Linked DNA regions of Elephas maximus indicus. The protein of the gene in region 2 binds, or shares a complex with, the protein of the main gene of each other region. Links are inferred from orthologs where the notes say so. Each region holds a gene or a part of one and is shown on either strand. Other genes may lie near its edges.

Evidence for each region. Proteins that work in one complex are often made in the same cells at the same time.
Region 1: EXOSC2 (region 2) and EXOSC7 share a complex: the UniProt entries of both Homo sapiens proteins name them as parts of the RNA exosome core complex. The link is inferred for Elephas maximus indicus from reciprocal best matches to the Homo sapiens genes EXOSC2 and EXOSC7.

Annotation. Positions count from the first base shown.
Region 1 is NC_064838.1:49,285,112-49,292,973, forward strand, and holds the start of EXOSC7 (exosome complex component RRP42), read left to right. Parts: upstream 1-4,814; 5' UTR 4,815-4,836; coding exon 4,837-4,893; intron 4,894-7,862. UniProt on the Homo sapiens protein: Non-catalytic component of the RNA exosome complex which has 3'->5' exoribonuclease activity and participates in a multitude of cellular RNA processing and degradation events.
Region 2 is NC_064827.1:81,633,885-81,641,734, reverse strand, and holds the start of EXOSC2 (exosome complex component RRP4), read right to left. Parts: upstream 3,007-7,850; 5' UTR 2,971-3,006; coding exon 2,849-2,970; intron 1,272-2,848; coding exon 1,170-1,271; intron 1-1,169. UniProt on the Homo sapiens protein: Non-catalytic component of the RNA exosome complex which has 3'->5' exoribonuclease activity and participates in a multitude of cellular RNA processing and degradation events.

The sequences.
Region 1 (7,862 bases), on a different chromosome or scaffold from region 2:
AGAACCCTGACCAGAACAGGACTTGCCCCACTAGGCTCACCTTCCTAGGGTAAGATAGCGATCCCACCCAAAGGTGTTCCATCCCCACTGGCCCTGAGCAGGAGATACTCATGTCTCAGCACAGAAAATCCAGAGTTCAATCACCAAGTCTCTACATACCAGGAAGGCCACAGTTTGGAGGAGACTATGAAAAGATGATGTTTTCCTGGCATTTCAGTTGTATTGGGATGAATGATTACAGTTGGGGAGACATGCTACTATAGGTTTCTCACCTTTACAATCAAGGGCCATGGATTACCTGGCCATTTGTCTCTGGATATCTGCTTTGGAAGAGGAAGGCAAATGATTTAAAATGCAAAATCAGGAAGAAAAAGGTTGTTGTTGTTAGCTGCCACTGAATTGGCCCCTGACTCCTGGCGACCCCATGCACAACAGGATGAAATGCTGCCCTGTCCTACACCATCCCCACGATTGGTTGCAAATTGGACGGCTGTGATCCATAGGGTTTTCACTGGCTAATTTTTCAGAAGTAGATTGCCCGGTCTTTCTTCTTAGGCCATTTTAATCTGGAAGCAGATACTAGTCTCCTTTTTTCCCCAGCAGGTCAATATCCAGACATCATATTCCTCCATTATTCCTTGAGACTCAGTTAACTTCTGTGGCTATCAGGGTGTGTATGTGAGTTTAAATGCTTCCAGAATTGGTAATCGGGATATATGACCCCCTTTTCTCACACACACCCTTATGAGGGACATAGGAAGCACCCTGCCATGCCCTCAAAATGAAACACATGTGAAGACTCCTCCTCCAAGTGAGAATAAACTTTCCCGATGTATTTCTATCAATTTTCTATCGCTATGTCCCCAAGTTACAATTTCTAGAACTGTGACATAGACCTGCTGGCCAGACTCTGCCAGGTTATTTATAACAAGTATTTTTTAAGGTAAGATAGGGGCAGGACAAATTCAAGTATATAAAGAAAACAGATCTATAGGGAAAATAGTAGCTCACTTTGTCCTTTTCTGGGGTGATGGGTTGATGGTGAAAAAGCAAAGAAAATGGACTAAAACTTGGCCATGTCAGTTTAAGACTGGGAACAAAATATTCCCCTGCTGGGTTTTTAAAGACTCTGGGTTTTTTTTTTTTTTCTAGCTCTCTGCAACTTCAGCACCATGGAGTGACACACTGCCCCCAAGCTCTTCCATAACTGGCTTTTATTGCTTTAATTAAACAAGACTAGGTGGGACAGATTCACTCCATCTCTGTATTATTATTGTTGCCTGCTAGTGGCTTTTAGTGTGTAGTGGCTAGCAGCAGCTCGTCACTTCTTGCACTTGATGCCTGGCCTGCACACTTAGCACCTTATTATAGGCTGGCCTCTCTTCTAATTACCATGTGTCTCAATTGAGCACTTTATTTTATTGTCTTGTTCATGCACTAGTTCAAGTGCTTGGGTTCCCTAACTATTATAGATTCTAAACTCCTTTTGGGCTGGTGCTGTGTTTTGGGTTTCCTTTTTATTTCTTCAGGCCCATGAGAACACTATAGACCTCTCAGGCATGCAAACACCACTTCCTGGTTTTATGAAGTTTCTAGATCTATCCTGGGAATATGGCACATGGTTGGAAGCTGGGATGCCATGCCTATTTCCACCCTCCGTATCAGATCCTTCAGCCTCCTTCACTGGTGAGGGCTCTCATCAGCTTCTTGGAGTTATGCTCTACTAGGCCTGTATCTAACTTTTTTTCTCATCTAAAAGGTTGGGCTGAAATAGACAGAGAAACTTTCCACCAGCACCACCTTCCATGTTCCTCTAGAAAAAAAAATTTAAGGATGTGAGTTTATGCTTGAAACAGACTTCTCACTTACTATTTTTATAGTCCTTGGGTAGTGCAAACAGTTAACTGTTGGCAGTTCAAACCTACCCAGAGATGCCTTGTAAGATAGGTCTGATCAGCTTCCGAAAGGTCATAGCCTTGAAAACCCTATGGAGCAGTTCTACTCTGCAGACCTGGGGTTACCGTGAGTCAGAACTGACTTGACGAGAGCTAACAACAACACAGTTTATAGGGCAGTTGCCAATTCCATAACAAACGCAGGCCACCTTCTCCAAACACTCCGGTGAATGAAACAGATCCTGGGGGGCGGGGGGCTGGGGGAGGACGGTATAGGTAATGGTTAGAAGTACAAGCATGGGAGCTAAATCGGCTGGGCTCAAATTCTGGCTCTGCTACTTACTAGTCTAGCTATGTGACCTGTGACCATGGTCAAGACACTTAATCTTTCTACACCCCAGATTCTCAATCTGTAAAATGGAGATAATGATAGTATCTGGCTCATAGGGTTGTTGTGAGGACAGAAAGCGTGAACCTTTGTAAAGTGTTTAGAACACTGCTCGGCACATAATCAGCACTATGTAGGTTTGTGTTAAATAAAATTAATAGAGTTCAGCTTTTAGAATATACAGACCTACAAAAATAATATACCCCTGAAAGAATATGACAGTGATGGGAAAACAAGCTGGTTGAATGGAATTTTTTGCCATCCTTAACTTCTTAAATTTTTGGCTAAAAAAAGAACTCTGAATTTATGGGTTTTAAAAATGTTTAATCATTATCACAGCAAATGTGATAAAAATGTTCTGGAAACATTAAGTAGAACAACCAGTGAAGGTGCACTGTTTTAGTTGAGAATTTAAAATAAATAGTCTATTGTTTATACCTCTTACAGCTACTTAGCCTAATCTATCAGACATCATTCGTAACAGTATTTATGTTATGTAACTTAACAGTATTAGCAAAAACTATGGACGCTTCCCCAGCAAGAAACCCTTTGTCAGGTGTCAGGACAGCTCAAATATATGTTGTGTATTTTAAAGGACATATTGAAAGATATTTTCTATAAAGATGACTCCATGGTATCCAAATTCAGACCTTTCTTGCTCTGTGTCTTTTCTGATCTGTGAATTTGCTGGCATCTTTTAAATCCCCAATCCCCTGACATATCCTAGCAACTAAAATCCCACTTGAAGAGGCTCTCTCTTCTGAGCAATTACTAGTACAAAATATGGTTTCTCACAGTCCCTTGTTATCTCAACACACAGTTCCTCACATAGAATTCAGCTGCCCAACTACACACAAAGGTATCTATGTACCACAACAGGTGGGGCACCTGTGCCTTGATTGGGGAGGGAACCCTTCTGGCTTCACCTCTCCTAGTTTCCCTGGAGAGCAAAGTTCAACCCTGGAAGACATCTTCCCTATAGGTGCACCTTTACAGAAAACTACGTAGACTTCAGAAACAAATGCCTAGTCTAAGAAAAAGTGATCATCTATTTTGGGGCTCAGCAGTTAAGTGCTTAAGAATGCGGGCAGACACTTCCTCTCCGTACCCTTCTCTGACTCACCTCCTGGTTCTCAGTCCCACTGCACCCATTGGTGCTACCATCATAGCTCTAACCACAACGTTCTGTGGTTCCCTCGACCCTCCAGCCTCCCCCTCTGCACAGGGAGCTTCTCTGGGCAGAAGTTGCATTTTACTTGTCTTAGTGTTCCAAAGCTAGAACAAAGCCCATCTGTAGTAGGCTCCCAATAGTTATCTGTGAAATTGTACCGAAGCCAATATCTGAGAAAATCAACCATTCTTTGGATAATCAAGCTGTTAAGGTTTACTTTGGTTTCTGACAACAGAGAAGGAGGTTCCTCAAAAACGGGACACGAGGAAGTCATCAGACCCATTCCTTGTTTCAACCACTTTGAATCAACTTTCCTCCATTTATCCGCATGGCCCCTTTAAAACTTGTACCGTACCGAGTCTGCCCCGCCTTAATGGGCTCCTGTGGTGACCCCAGCTTCACCTTGCAGGTATCCTGTCTGGATATCCAAGGCCCAGAATTCGACTCGGCCACCGCGCGGGGCTGGCTTTTTTACCGGCAGCTGCCATAGCTCCCACGATCACCCCCATCAAGCCGGGACTTCCAGTCCCCTATGGGAAGCGCTGGGGGCGCCCCGGCACTGCGCCCGCGCCAGCGCCGGTTGCCAAGATCCTCCTTACTTTTTTCGGGACAATGCTCCGGCGATCATCCGGGGAAGTGGGCCCTGCAAGGTCCTGGCCCCCCGACCCGTTCGATTCGTCCTCGGAGAGAGGAGGGGGGAGTTTGAGGGACCGGGGGAAGGCGGCGACGATGCCTCGAGATTAGTGACCCCACTCCCCGCCCGGACCCTTCCCACGGAGACCGAGCCGAAGAGAGCTTCATTGCTTCTACTTTTCAACCATTCTAGGAACCAGGGAAAGGGAGGGGCGGGAAGAGTGGGGAGATAGCCCCCCGGGCCAATCACGACGTCCGGCTCCTTTCGGGGTCTGTCAGTTTCCTCTCTCTTACACACACATGACCTGCTACTTCAACTCCAGCTGTGAGCAAACTGCGCCTCGTGCCTCTCCTACTACGAGTCCCCCAGCCCTGGCCCGCGCGCCTATCCTAACCCCAGTTTCTTCACCCCAACCCGAGTTCCCCCTTCTAACTGACCGTGAAGCCGGTGGCAGTTCCCCAGTCCCAGGCCGCCGGGGAGACTCTTGCCGCCGCCGCCGTGGCCACAATTTGCACTCCCCGACACGGGTCCCGGCCTTGGGCTGCGGCGATGGCTCCCCGGCTCCCTGGACTCGGCCAGACACCCGGCGGCGCGCAGGAGAAGCCCATCGAGCTCCCGGCGGCGGCGGCAGCAGCGGCTGCAGGAGCGGCCGCCGCGCTGGCTGATGACGTTCGGGTGCAGGGGGCGCGGCCGCCTGGGGGAGGGGGCGCGGGCGGATGACGTACGGCGAGCAGGGCGACTCTGCAGCATGGCGTCCGTGGCGCTGAGCGAGGCGGAGAAGGTGTACATCGTGCATGGCGTCCAGGTAGTTGCAGCAGCAGGTCGGCCGTAGAGTTACGCTGGCCCTGCGAGCTGCGGCTGGCCCTCGGTTTCCCGGCTGGGGAGGCCCCAGGTTGCCGCGAGTCTGGATTTACCTTGTGATTAAATGGCTCGGATTCTGCATCCCGAAGCCGGCAACGCGGCCGTTTTTAGGACTGGGTGGCGAGCATCCATTTAGGTCTCTTCTCGTACTTGCAGCTTTTCGGGCCTACAAGGTTCTGAACCTGGGTAGGAAGGGGTGGGCGCTCCCAGAGGCCTTTCTTGAGGTCTTTCCTGGGGGAAATACCGCCCCCGGACCATCTCTTCACCCTTTGCGTGACGCTTCGCTTGGCCTAGTCTCAGTTTTTTCTTCTAGGAAATGGGGGGAGGTGTGTTTCTGGCTCTCTTTTTCTCAGCTGGCGGTTTGGTGGCTCAGAGAGAGCACACACCCGCTTTGAAGATATATATTGCCTTACAGATGAAGGAGGGATGTTATGATTTAAAAGGCGGCTTTGCAGCCAGTAGCGTAATTCTTTCTGTTTCCCATTTTGCCATTGGAGAACTAAGATCCCTAAAAACAGCTAGAACCCATTGTCTTTGCTCAGACTTCAACCCCTAGTTTGGACCACTCCAGAAGTAGAGCTGGAGGATGTTGGGCCTGCTAGGAGCTACCCAGCTTCCTTCTCTGGCTCTTGTTATCCTTCCTTCACTCTTGTTATGCCACTGCGCGGCTCTCCCATCCCAGTTCTCCAGCCCACCTATGGCAGAGTTCTGAGGGCAGCTACTGCACCCTCCCTCATGCCCTTTCTCAGCCAAGGCAAACTGCAGTCAGTGGTCCCGTGATGTAGGTAATAGATTAGGCAGCCAGCTATCATTAAAACTCCACAACTGAGTTAAGGCCGTGTCCTTTTTAAAATTGTGGCCTGCTTTTTTTTTTTTATTGTGTGTGCCTGTTACAGAGGAAGTAAACATCAATATTTAGCTGACAGTTTGCTTGTTTGTTGTGTAACAACTCAGCGACACCTGAACCCAAGGTGGGCCACATCTCCAAGAGACTGAAGAAAGACTCCAGAACCAGTCATCGTGACATATGGTTTATTGGGACACTTACTTACAGGACCGTGGCCCAGGGCGGCAGCTGGACTAGTTTAGTGCTCCACAATCACCTAGCATAGGACACGAGCTTATATACCATTCCAGCTGGGTCCAAGGCTCATGGTTTTTCTCCCACGTCCTTGGGCAGTTACCGTTCCCAGGGACTTCACGTCCAGGCCCAGATGTTTTTCTTCTTGTTGCTAAGGCTTTCCTCAGCCTTGGTCACTGGCCTAGTCACACCACTCCTGTCCTTGTACCTCAGCCCAAGTCCATCCTGAATTCATCCCCATCATGCTTTGGGGGAGAGCAAAGCTGACTCCATTAGGACGGTATGCATATAGCTGAATAGGATTACCCTACAATATTAAACCTGAATAATAGAGTCAGAACGTAAAGGTTCATGAACTTTTTAAGATCTACTTCAGGGTCAGCAATAAGGAAATATATGTGTGTGTGTGTGTTACTGAGTGGCGTATGTATGTTATTTGTGTTTGGGAGGTATAAAACCGTTCACAAAGCAATTAGATTTGTCCTTCCCTGTCTTATTTTTGTGCCAACTTCGTTCAGATGATTTTCCTCCTCAAAGGAATGCTTAGGGGAGGCATTAAGGATTATGTTTTATTTCTAAATCTAAAAGCCTTTAGGTTTTTTCCTTTGCTACCACAGCCAGGAAATATTGGTTACACTTTACAGCCAATTCTCTCTCACATTCCATCTCTGACAGTGGCACCAAGGGACATAGGATAGGAAAATAAGTGAGTCCTCCTTGTCTGTAACCTCCCTAGGTTAGAGATGTCTTACAAACATCCTTAGTTCCCATGGCAACTCACTGTCCAACTGCCTATCAGAGACCCACTGAGGCTATAAGCTTTTCTTCCTTATTACTTTAAAATCAGTCAGCACGTCATTTATATTTATTACACACCTGTTATATGTTGGGTGCTGTGGGGAGGGAAAAAAAAAGCTACAGTCTGGCCCCTGAGATACTTAGGATATAGTTCGGGCAACGTTAGTTGGTTTTATTCACCATTTTATACCCAGCCCCCATTGTATTATGTGGGAAACAGTAGGAGTGCCAAAACATACTTGTGAAATAAATAAATGAACAATAGGGGAGAGAGACAGGAAAGATGAATAAAACAAAAGCAATGGCATATAGGATATACGCCAAGGGAGCTAAAGATTTCTGGGGGCTATAATGCTCTGGAAGGCTTCCTTAAGGAAGTAGAATTTCCAAGTGTCCCCCCTGTGTATCTTTGGGAATCAGTATTCATTCACCACAGAACTGAGCTAGCCTTGGGAGGTAAGACGGAACCTGCCCTTATCTTGTTCCCATGCTAGAAGGAAGATGCAGGAATTACAGACCCATTTGTTTATATGTTTAACTGAAAATTGTACTGAGTGCTGTGAGTGAAAAAGCTTTGGATTTGATCCAGTCTGGGAGAGTCCCTAAGGAAATGGCGTTTGAGCTGAGCCCTCAGAATGAGCAGGAGTTAAGTAGTCAAGAGCCTTTTAGAAGGATGGGATGGTGAGTCCACAGGCCCTTCAGAAGAGGAAGTGTGGAGCCCCAGGGGTGAGCTGGGGATAATAGTGGAAGACTGGATTGCAGAGGTGACCAGAAACCCAGTTACTTTCCTATTATGGATCTTGGTGGGTAATGGTCTATTGACTTATGTGTATGGTATCTTTAAGGCCTAGCCAGCGTCCAGCACTTGGTAGGAACTCAGTGACATTGAATAAGTATGGTAGGCCGTAAAGGGGGGGTGGGTTAGACAGTCTTTGTTTTTTAAGTCAACCCTCACACTCACTAATACATGGAAACATTAGGGTCACAGTTCATAGTAAAAAATATTTTTTTAGATAGTATTTTCCCCAAGCTGA
Region 2 (7,850 bases):
AAAAGGAGATTCTGAGACAGGATGCCACCCAAAGAGGCACTGATGCCAGTTAAATGGGCCTACTCGCCACCTCTCCTACCCGATGGCTGCCCTTTCGCAGGCCTCTTTGCTCTGATTCTAATGATGATATGTTCCAATGCTCAAGGTCAGTCCCTGGGCCTCTTCACTTTTCAGTTCACACTCATCTCTTGGTAAGTTCATTCAATCTAATGGCTTTAAATACTACTGATGACTACCCCACACACTCCATTTTAATGACTAATAGGCATTTTCAAATTTAACAAGCCCAAAACTAAGCTTGCAAGCAACCTCCTCTTCTCCTCTCCCCATCTCAGTAAGTGGTGACTTCATCCCACCAGATGCTCAAGCCAAAAACCTTGGAGAGGCATCCTTGATTCCTTTCTGTTTCTCATGCTCCATGATCAGTCCAGCGGCAAATCCTGCTAGCTCTACCTTCAAAATATATGCAGAATCAAATCACTACTCCCATTTCCACTTCTACTACTTCATTCCAAGCTACCCATTACTTCAGATGAATTCATCTTCCTAAATCTGCCCCGATTCCCCTTCAACTTCCTCATAGCAGCCAGACCAAAAAAAAAAAAAAAAAAACTCAGTGCCGTCGAGTCGATTCCGACTCACAGCAACTCTATAGGACAGATTTTATTAAAATATAAGTCGATCATGTCCCTCCTCTGCTCTACCCCTCCAATGTCTTCCCAGGTTACGCAAAGTGGAAGCCAAAATGCTTACAATGGCCTACAAGGCAAGCCAGACTGTCCTCCCACCTCAGCTCTCTCTCTGCCTGTATATGCTCCTACCGTCCCCCTCACTCACTGTTCCTGGGGCTAACCTTTACTTAGCCCTTCTAGGTACTAGGCTCTGTGCTAAGTATTTTACATAAATTCATCGCTTCGCTAAATTCTAACAAAAATTCTAGAAGGCAGTTTGTGTTTTTATCCTCATTTTGCAGAGGAAGTAACCAAGGCTTGGAAAGGTTAAGTAATGGGGGAAAACCTTACATATAATCTCCATACAATCTTTCTTACAGTCATGTTCAAAATCACAGACTCACAAAATGATAGGGCAATTGGGAGGAGGGAGACAGAATAGACTTGGTCACACAATATGTTGTCTCAAGAAAGAGAATACACACCTTTTGTCCTCACCTGGTTTTCAAAGCTTTCACACAAATCAACTTGTTTACTCTCTCCACAGAGCCAGCCACAGATGCTATGAGCTTCTCTTCCCCCATATACGTTCCATGACCCCTGTTGCAAGATACAGATACAAAGGATACTAGGGTAACACTTGAGGTGACCTCTCCCCTCAAGAACAATGTGTTCCTCAAACCTAACACGCTCCTTCTGCCTTAAAGCCTGGCTTTTGTACTGGTTACTCTACGGGCCTGCAACACTGCCTCTCCAGAGAGCTACACGGACGTCTCCCTCATCTTCGAGTCTGTTCAAACATCACTTTCTCCATCTGACCTACCTCATTTAAAACAGTAATCCACTCTGCTGCCCATACCACCACATTCCCAACCCCATTCCAATGACCCTGCTCTGCTTTTTGTTTTATTATTGCACTTTCACCAAACATTCTGCACAATTTATTTATTTGTTGTGATTACTTAATTATTATCTGTCTGTCCCTGTTAGAATTTAAACTCCGCCAGGACAGAGATTTTCATTTTGTTCATTGTTGTACCCCAACCGCACATAATATAAATGTATCGAATGCCAAGAACGCAGGAATGAGTTTTAAGATTTCCGAGAATTCAATAACCTCAAACTGGGCAAAAAGGTGGCGTAGTGGTTAAGTGCTATGGCTGCTAACCAAGGGGTCAGCAGTTCAAATCTGCCAGGTGCTCCTTGGAAACTCTATGGGGCAGTTCTACTCTGTTCTGTAGGGTTGCTATGAGTCGTAATCGACTTGACGGCAGTGGGTTCGGTTTTTTGGTTTTGGGCAAAAAGGCAATGTTGTAAATGCTGTATTCCTCATATATGTACATGTGTCTCCCCCACCCCCTGCAAAAAAAGAAACAAACAAACCAACTAAAATGTTAATAGTGTTTAAGGTGGGATTATATAGGGTCGCTATGAGTCGGAATCTACTCAAGGGCAATGGGTTTGGTTTTTTTTTTTTTTTGGTTTGGTGGGCTCTGTTTCTCTTTTTCACATTATAATCTCATTTAATCCTCACTACCTTCCCAGATAGCTACTGTCATCACTATTTTACAAACGAGGAAATAATGTTTCAGGAGATAATGCCGCTAATAATAAATGATGGCAGCACGACTGGAACCAGGACCGTTTCACTCAAGAGCCTGCCCTGTTAACCATAACAAACTACATTGCCTTTAGGTCAAAGATTGTATATTCCGATGCATGTAGCACAATATATTTGTCTGCCTTAACCCAAACTACTGACTCCAAAACCCAGCCCCTGGTCCCAAGATGACACTGAGGGAGATGGAAGCCAAATCAGAAACGCCCACCGTTCTCCTGAAAACTGGAAAGAGGCCCTTGTTCCAGACTCTCCCCAGTTTTCCAGGTCTCCAACGAGGAAGGCTTAGAGATCTGGGCCAAAGGCAGAGGACCCGAGAGACCACGGCCACCAGAGGTCAGGAGAAAAGGGCTTCAGGGGGCTGAGACAAACGCGAACACACAAAACAGAGAGTGAGAAGCCCGAGTCCTCGGAAACCCGGGGACTGGGGTGCTCTGGAGATCTGCGCTGAATGAAGGAAGGGCTTAGACTCTGCAGGCCGGGGTTTCGGACTAGTAGGCCACGTGCTGAGCCCTGCACTCGCTCACTGGAGTCCCGAGTCCCCCAGGTCCCTACATACCGCATGAAGCCCGTGTCTGTAGTGATCGTGTCTCCCGGCACTACCAGGTGTTTTTTAGTCTCGCGACCCAGGCTCTCGCTGAGAGGTTTGCGAGCCACTGGAAGTCTCATCTCCATCGCCATCTTGGCGCCAATGACTTGCGCAGGCGCAACCGGGCCCGGAGCCACGATATCCGTCCCCGCGATTCCCCGCGGACGCTCGCAGGGGCGGGGCAGAGCAGGGCCTTTGAGAAGCCGCCAATAGGCGGTCACGGGCTGGCGGCCATGTTGACTAGTGGCAACCCTTAGGTTAACTTGAAGGGAAAGAGGAGCCGAATTGCCATGTTTACTATTGGCAAGGCTGCGCCAGTGAAATAGCAAAGTTTCACGTTGTGTGACGCCTGGATTTTTACCAAAACTGCCTCGTACACACTATCCCGTTTACTGTTTACCAGGATTAGAGATATTTGAGAAATGGACCTCTGAGTTTCCTGACAACTCTAAGCCGCTAAGAGTCTGGTTCTTTTTTTTGTATGAAAGAATCTAGAAAGATCCATAGGTAAGATCTACAGAAAATAGTATTGGACAATAAGGAGAGCCCCTTTCCACATCGTTCCTAGTGGCTTATTTTACATTACAGCCAGTATTTTACATTACAGCCCCCGTGTAGGTTGCTGGTTCGGCACCAACCATCAACTCCTCCCAACAATGTTCCGCATTGTTCACTGGTTTTCTACTTTCCTTGTAACGTTCTTTGAGTGAGCTGATTTACTTTAACATTTCTTTTGAAAAAACAAGAAACTGTCTTAAAAAAAACCAGTCAGACCTTGCAGGGCAGGTATGTTTGGCAAGGAGAGCAAGTGCCCACATAACACAAAGATTCTCACCTGTATTTATACTTCTTGTGAATTGGCGCTTTCTGTGTGCCAGGCATCTTTCTAAGGATGCAGCGAACATGTGTATGTGGCTTCACCTCCACGTCCTACTTAATGCGAGCATTTCCCTCACCCATTTTTCCTGCCCCCCACTATGCTCTCCCTGGCCCTTGTCCTTCATGGTTTATAGCACAACAAACTTGTGTTTCAGCCTCGGGAAATTGGAGATTATAATTCTTCATGCACAGGGACCATTAAAAAAAAAAAATTTTTTTTTTTTTAAGGATTAAATGGAAGAACTGCCTGCATTAGCCACATACTGCTTGCTCTACTCAGTAGATCAGGCCCGCTGCTTCCTGAAGTTTTATCAGATCAATTGTTTTATGAATTTCCAAAAAGAGGACACTTCTTTCACCTAAGCAAGGCTCATGACTACCAACCCTGTGAGGCAATCTCTGATATAAATGCTAGAGCTCTGCTGGTCATTGGACAAGTGGGCAGGTCAGACCCTCACCCTCCTCCCTACCTTGAGGAAGGCACTGGAGCAGAAGAAAGTACAAGGGCCCATCTGTTGAGTCAAGCCTTGGCCATAAGAGGGCAGTGGTGCCCTGCGAGCCGACAGAGCCCAGCCAGTTCAGAGCAAGATTCTGCGTGCCCCTAGACCAAGGGGTGGGGTATAGTCTTGACATCTTGTTTTACACTAGGAAGGATGAACAAAACCTTAACTCCTTTAATTCTCACAGCACTCCTAGTTTACAGAGGGAGCCCTGGTGTTGCAGTGGTTAAGCACAATGGGCTGCTAACAGAAAGGCAGTTTGAACCCAACAGCCACTCTATGGGGGGAGAGATCGGCAGTCTGCTTCTGTAAAGATTTACAGCCTTAGTAACCCTATGGAGGGAGTTTTACTCTGTCCTATAGGGTTGCTATGAATTGGATTTGACTCAAGGGTAACAGGTTTTTTGTTTGGTCATCACGTTGGTATTAAAAGTGATTGCTGCGGAGTCGACTTTAAAGCCAAGTGTGTCAGTGTAGAATGGATGCTTTCTTATAGATGCACAGGGACTATACAGAGGATTAAATTATCAAAAAGGATGAGAATTCACACAGCAGATGGTGCCAGAGCCAGTGTTCCAACTGTACCTGCCTTACTCCGGGGCCTGCACCGTTTGCTAAACGTTTCCCAAAGGCCCGGGCCTTTGCTGGGCACTTTAAAAACATTGTGTTATTGATTCCTCACAACAACTTGGCCCATCATGGAGGTAGGCATTGTTAGTTCTGACAGTCATTTGGGGCCGTTAAGTCCCAAAAACAAACTGGCAGCTGGCCTTCCCACCCCAGGCTCTGCTCACTCTACCACACTTGCCTCTTCACTACCTTGTGGATGAGTAGACTCAGGAAACATGGCTGCACGTCCCAGAGGACTTGTTGAAAATACAAGCTCCAAGCCCAGATTTAGGCATTGAGGCTTTACAAGCGTGAGGCCCGCAGGTCTATCAGTATGTGTTTAACTCCCCATGTGATTTTAATCGTTGGTCATTTTAATTCTCGGATTCCTCCATCTACATCTCAATCTGTGCATCTCTGTGGCCACTACTCCAGGCCAATCAGTGTCACCACTCACTCGAGTGGCTACAATAACCTCCTAGTTTGCCTCTCTAATTGTGTATTTGCCCCTTCTACCATTTAGTCTCTGTACAAGGGCTAGAGGGATATTTTTAAATCAGATCAGATTAAATTTCTCCCTGCTTAAACTTCTGGTGGCTTCCCCTTACACTGAGAATAAAATCCAAACTCATCATCCTGGCGTTGAGGCCCTGTGGGACCTGGCCCCTGCCTGTCTCTGACCTCATTTGCCTATATATCTGTGCATAAACTTTGATTTCCACCCACATAACGTTCCTGCCCTGAGGCAGCCTTCTCTACATAACATCCCTACCCTGGGGCAGCCTTCTCTAGCCAGGAGCCCAGGAGTGGGGGGCCTGTCTTACAAAACAGATGTCAGGTGGTCATGGGTGGGAGCTATCTAGTCACACTCCATAATTTTCCCCACCCAACCACAGACACATACTCCTAGTGGGCCAGTTCCAAAGCAGGAAAGAAGCTGAAAACTTAGGATATATGATCCTCCAGTTTGAGAGACCCAAGGGTCATAAGTATAGAAAACAGTTGGGGGAAAGGGGTTTAACAGCTGCCTCAGATGCCCTCTTGGGGGTGTCTACAACCCCTGGCACACACCAAAGCATTCTTTTATTAATAACAGCTCCCATATATTGAGCATTTACTATGTACTGGACACTGAGCCATGTACTTTATTCATTTATATGCATTATTCCATCTAATCTCACAACATCCTTAGGAGCTAAGTATCACTCCATTTTCCATGTGAGGGAACTGAGACATAGAGACGTTAATTGACTTGCCCGAATTCACACAGCTAGTGAGTGGCACAGCTGGGATTTGAACCCAGCCTCTAGAGTCCTTCTACTACTGAAAGTCCTGGTCGATGACATAAGGCAAGAGAAAGAAATAAATGGCATCCAATTAGAAAGGAAGAAATAAAACTCTCTTTATTCACAAGCAACATGATACTGTACGTAGAAAGTACGAAAGAATCTACAAAACGCCACAGGAACTAATAGGTGAGTTTTACAAGGTCACATGAAACAAGGTCAGTGTACAATGCTGGTCTACACTGCACCCCTATGGGAAATGCAGCAGGTCCTTTGGACTGAATCTGTGGACTGAATGGGAAGTGGTGTGCCCTAAAGCTCCTGAGAGTCAGATGCCTGTGGTGGAACCCTGCTCTGCCACTCTTCCACTGAGTGATGTGGGCAAATGACTTGCTCTCTCTATGCCTCAGTTTTCTCATACCTCAAATGGACATAAAAAGAGCATTGGCCTTGTGGGGTTGTTGGCAGGGTTCCCAGAATGCATGCATCTAAATCCCTAAGCCTGGGCTGGCCCACAGAAATTGCTGTGATTGTGTTCACATGCTTTTGTCCAGGGAGTGCACGCTTGGGAAAGGGGGTCAAGGTCTCTGCTGGAAATGCAACCAAGGTGAGAGATAAGGCTTTCGGCGTCAAGCCTCCCAGCACCATGAGCCCTGTTTGTTCATCCTTGTTTCCCCAGTGCCTAGCACAGGCCCTGACACGTGTCTGTAGAAGCAGGTCAGCTGGCAAGCCAGTGGCACCTCGGTCTGCAATTACAGCTCACTGCCACCAGGTGGGTTCTGGAGCCTGGGTTGTGGCCCTGGTGTTAGCTGGGACTTAACTACCTATGGAGAACAATTTAAATTTTTGATCAAGGACGCCACTGACTTCTCTGAAGTCTGACTCCTGCAGGTTCTTCAGAAAGCCAGCATTTTACCTTATTTGGGCATTACTGTCTGGGAGGCATGAAGTGTGAGCCATGATGGTGTTTAATTCCACTTCACCCGTCATCATCCAGAGGGAAGGGGCCTCGGGACATACAAACTTTGGCTGTGGGGACAAGATGCCTGGGTGGGGGAGGCAGTGTGTGGAGGGTGGTACCAGGGGCTACCAGAGGCTTCGAAAGCCTAGTGGAGAGGCGTCAAAGGAGAGGCACTAGGCGAATGCATAGAGACAGAAAGTGGAATCGAGGTTACCAGGGTCAGGGGCAAGGGGTAATGTGGAGTTATCGCCTAATAAGTATAGAGTTTCTGGTAAGGATGATAAAAAAGGTTTGTAAAACTCACTTATTGGAAATAGCGGTGATGGTTACACAACATTGTGAATGTAATTAACATTACTGAACTGTACACTCGAAAGTGGTTAAAATGATAAATTTTGTTATATACATTTTACCACAATAAAAAAAAAAACTACCAAATAAATAACTGTATGAATAAAACTGGCTGCCTGTTTAAAAAAAAAAAAAAGGAGAGGCGAAGTTTGTGACCGGGGGTGGGAGGAATATCAAGGATGGCTCTGTCACCAGCCAGAGGCAGGAAACCCCAGATGGAGCCTGCATGTGAACACATCAGTGTACTTCCCTGCCTGTGCCCCACCAGCCAGGGCATGAGATGACTCCCACAAAGGAGGGTGTATGTGGGAGTACCATGTGAAGCTCCAGATGGAGGTGACCTGTGTGTCCAAGTATGAATTTCCAAGTTTTTGCAGGGGTATGTA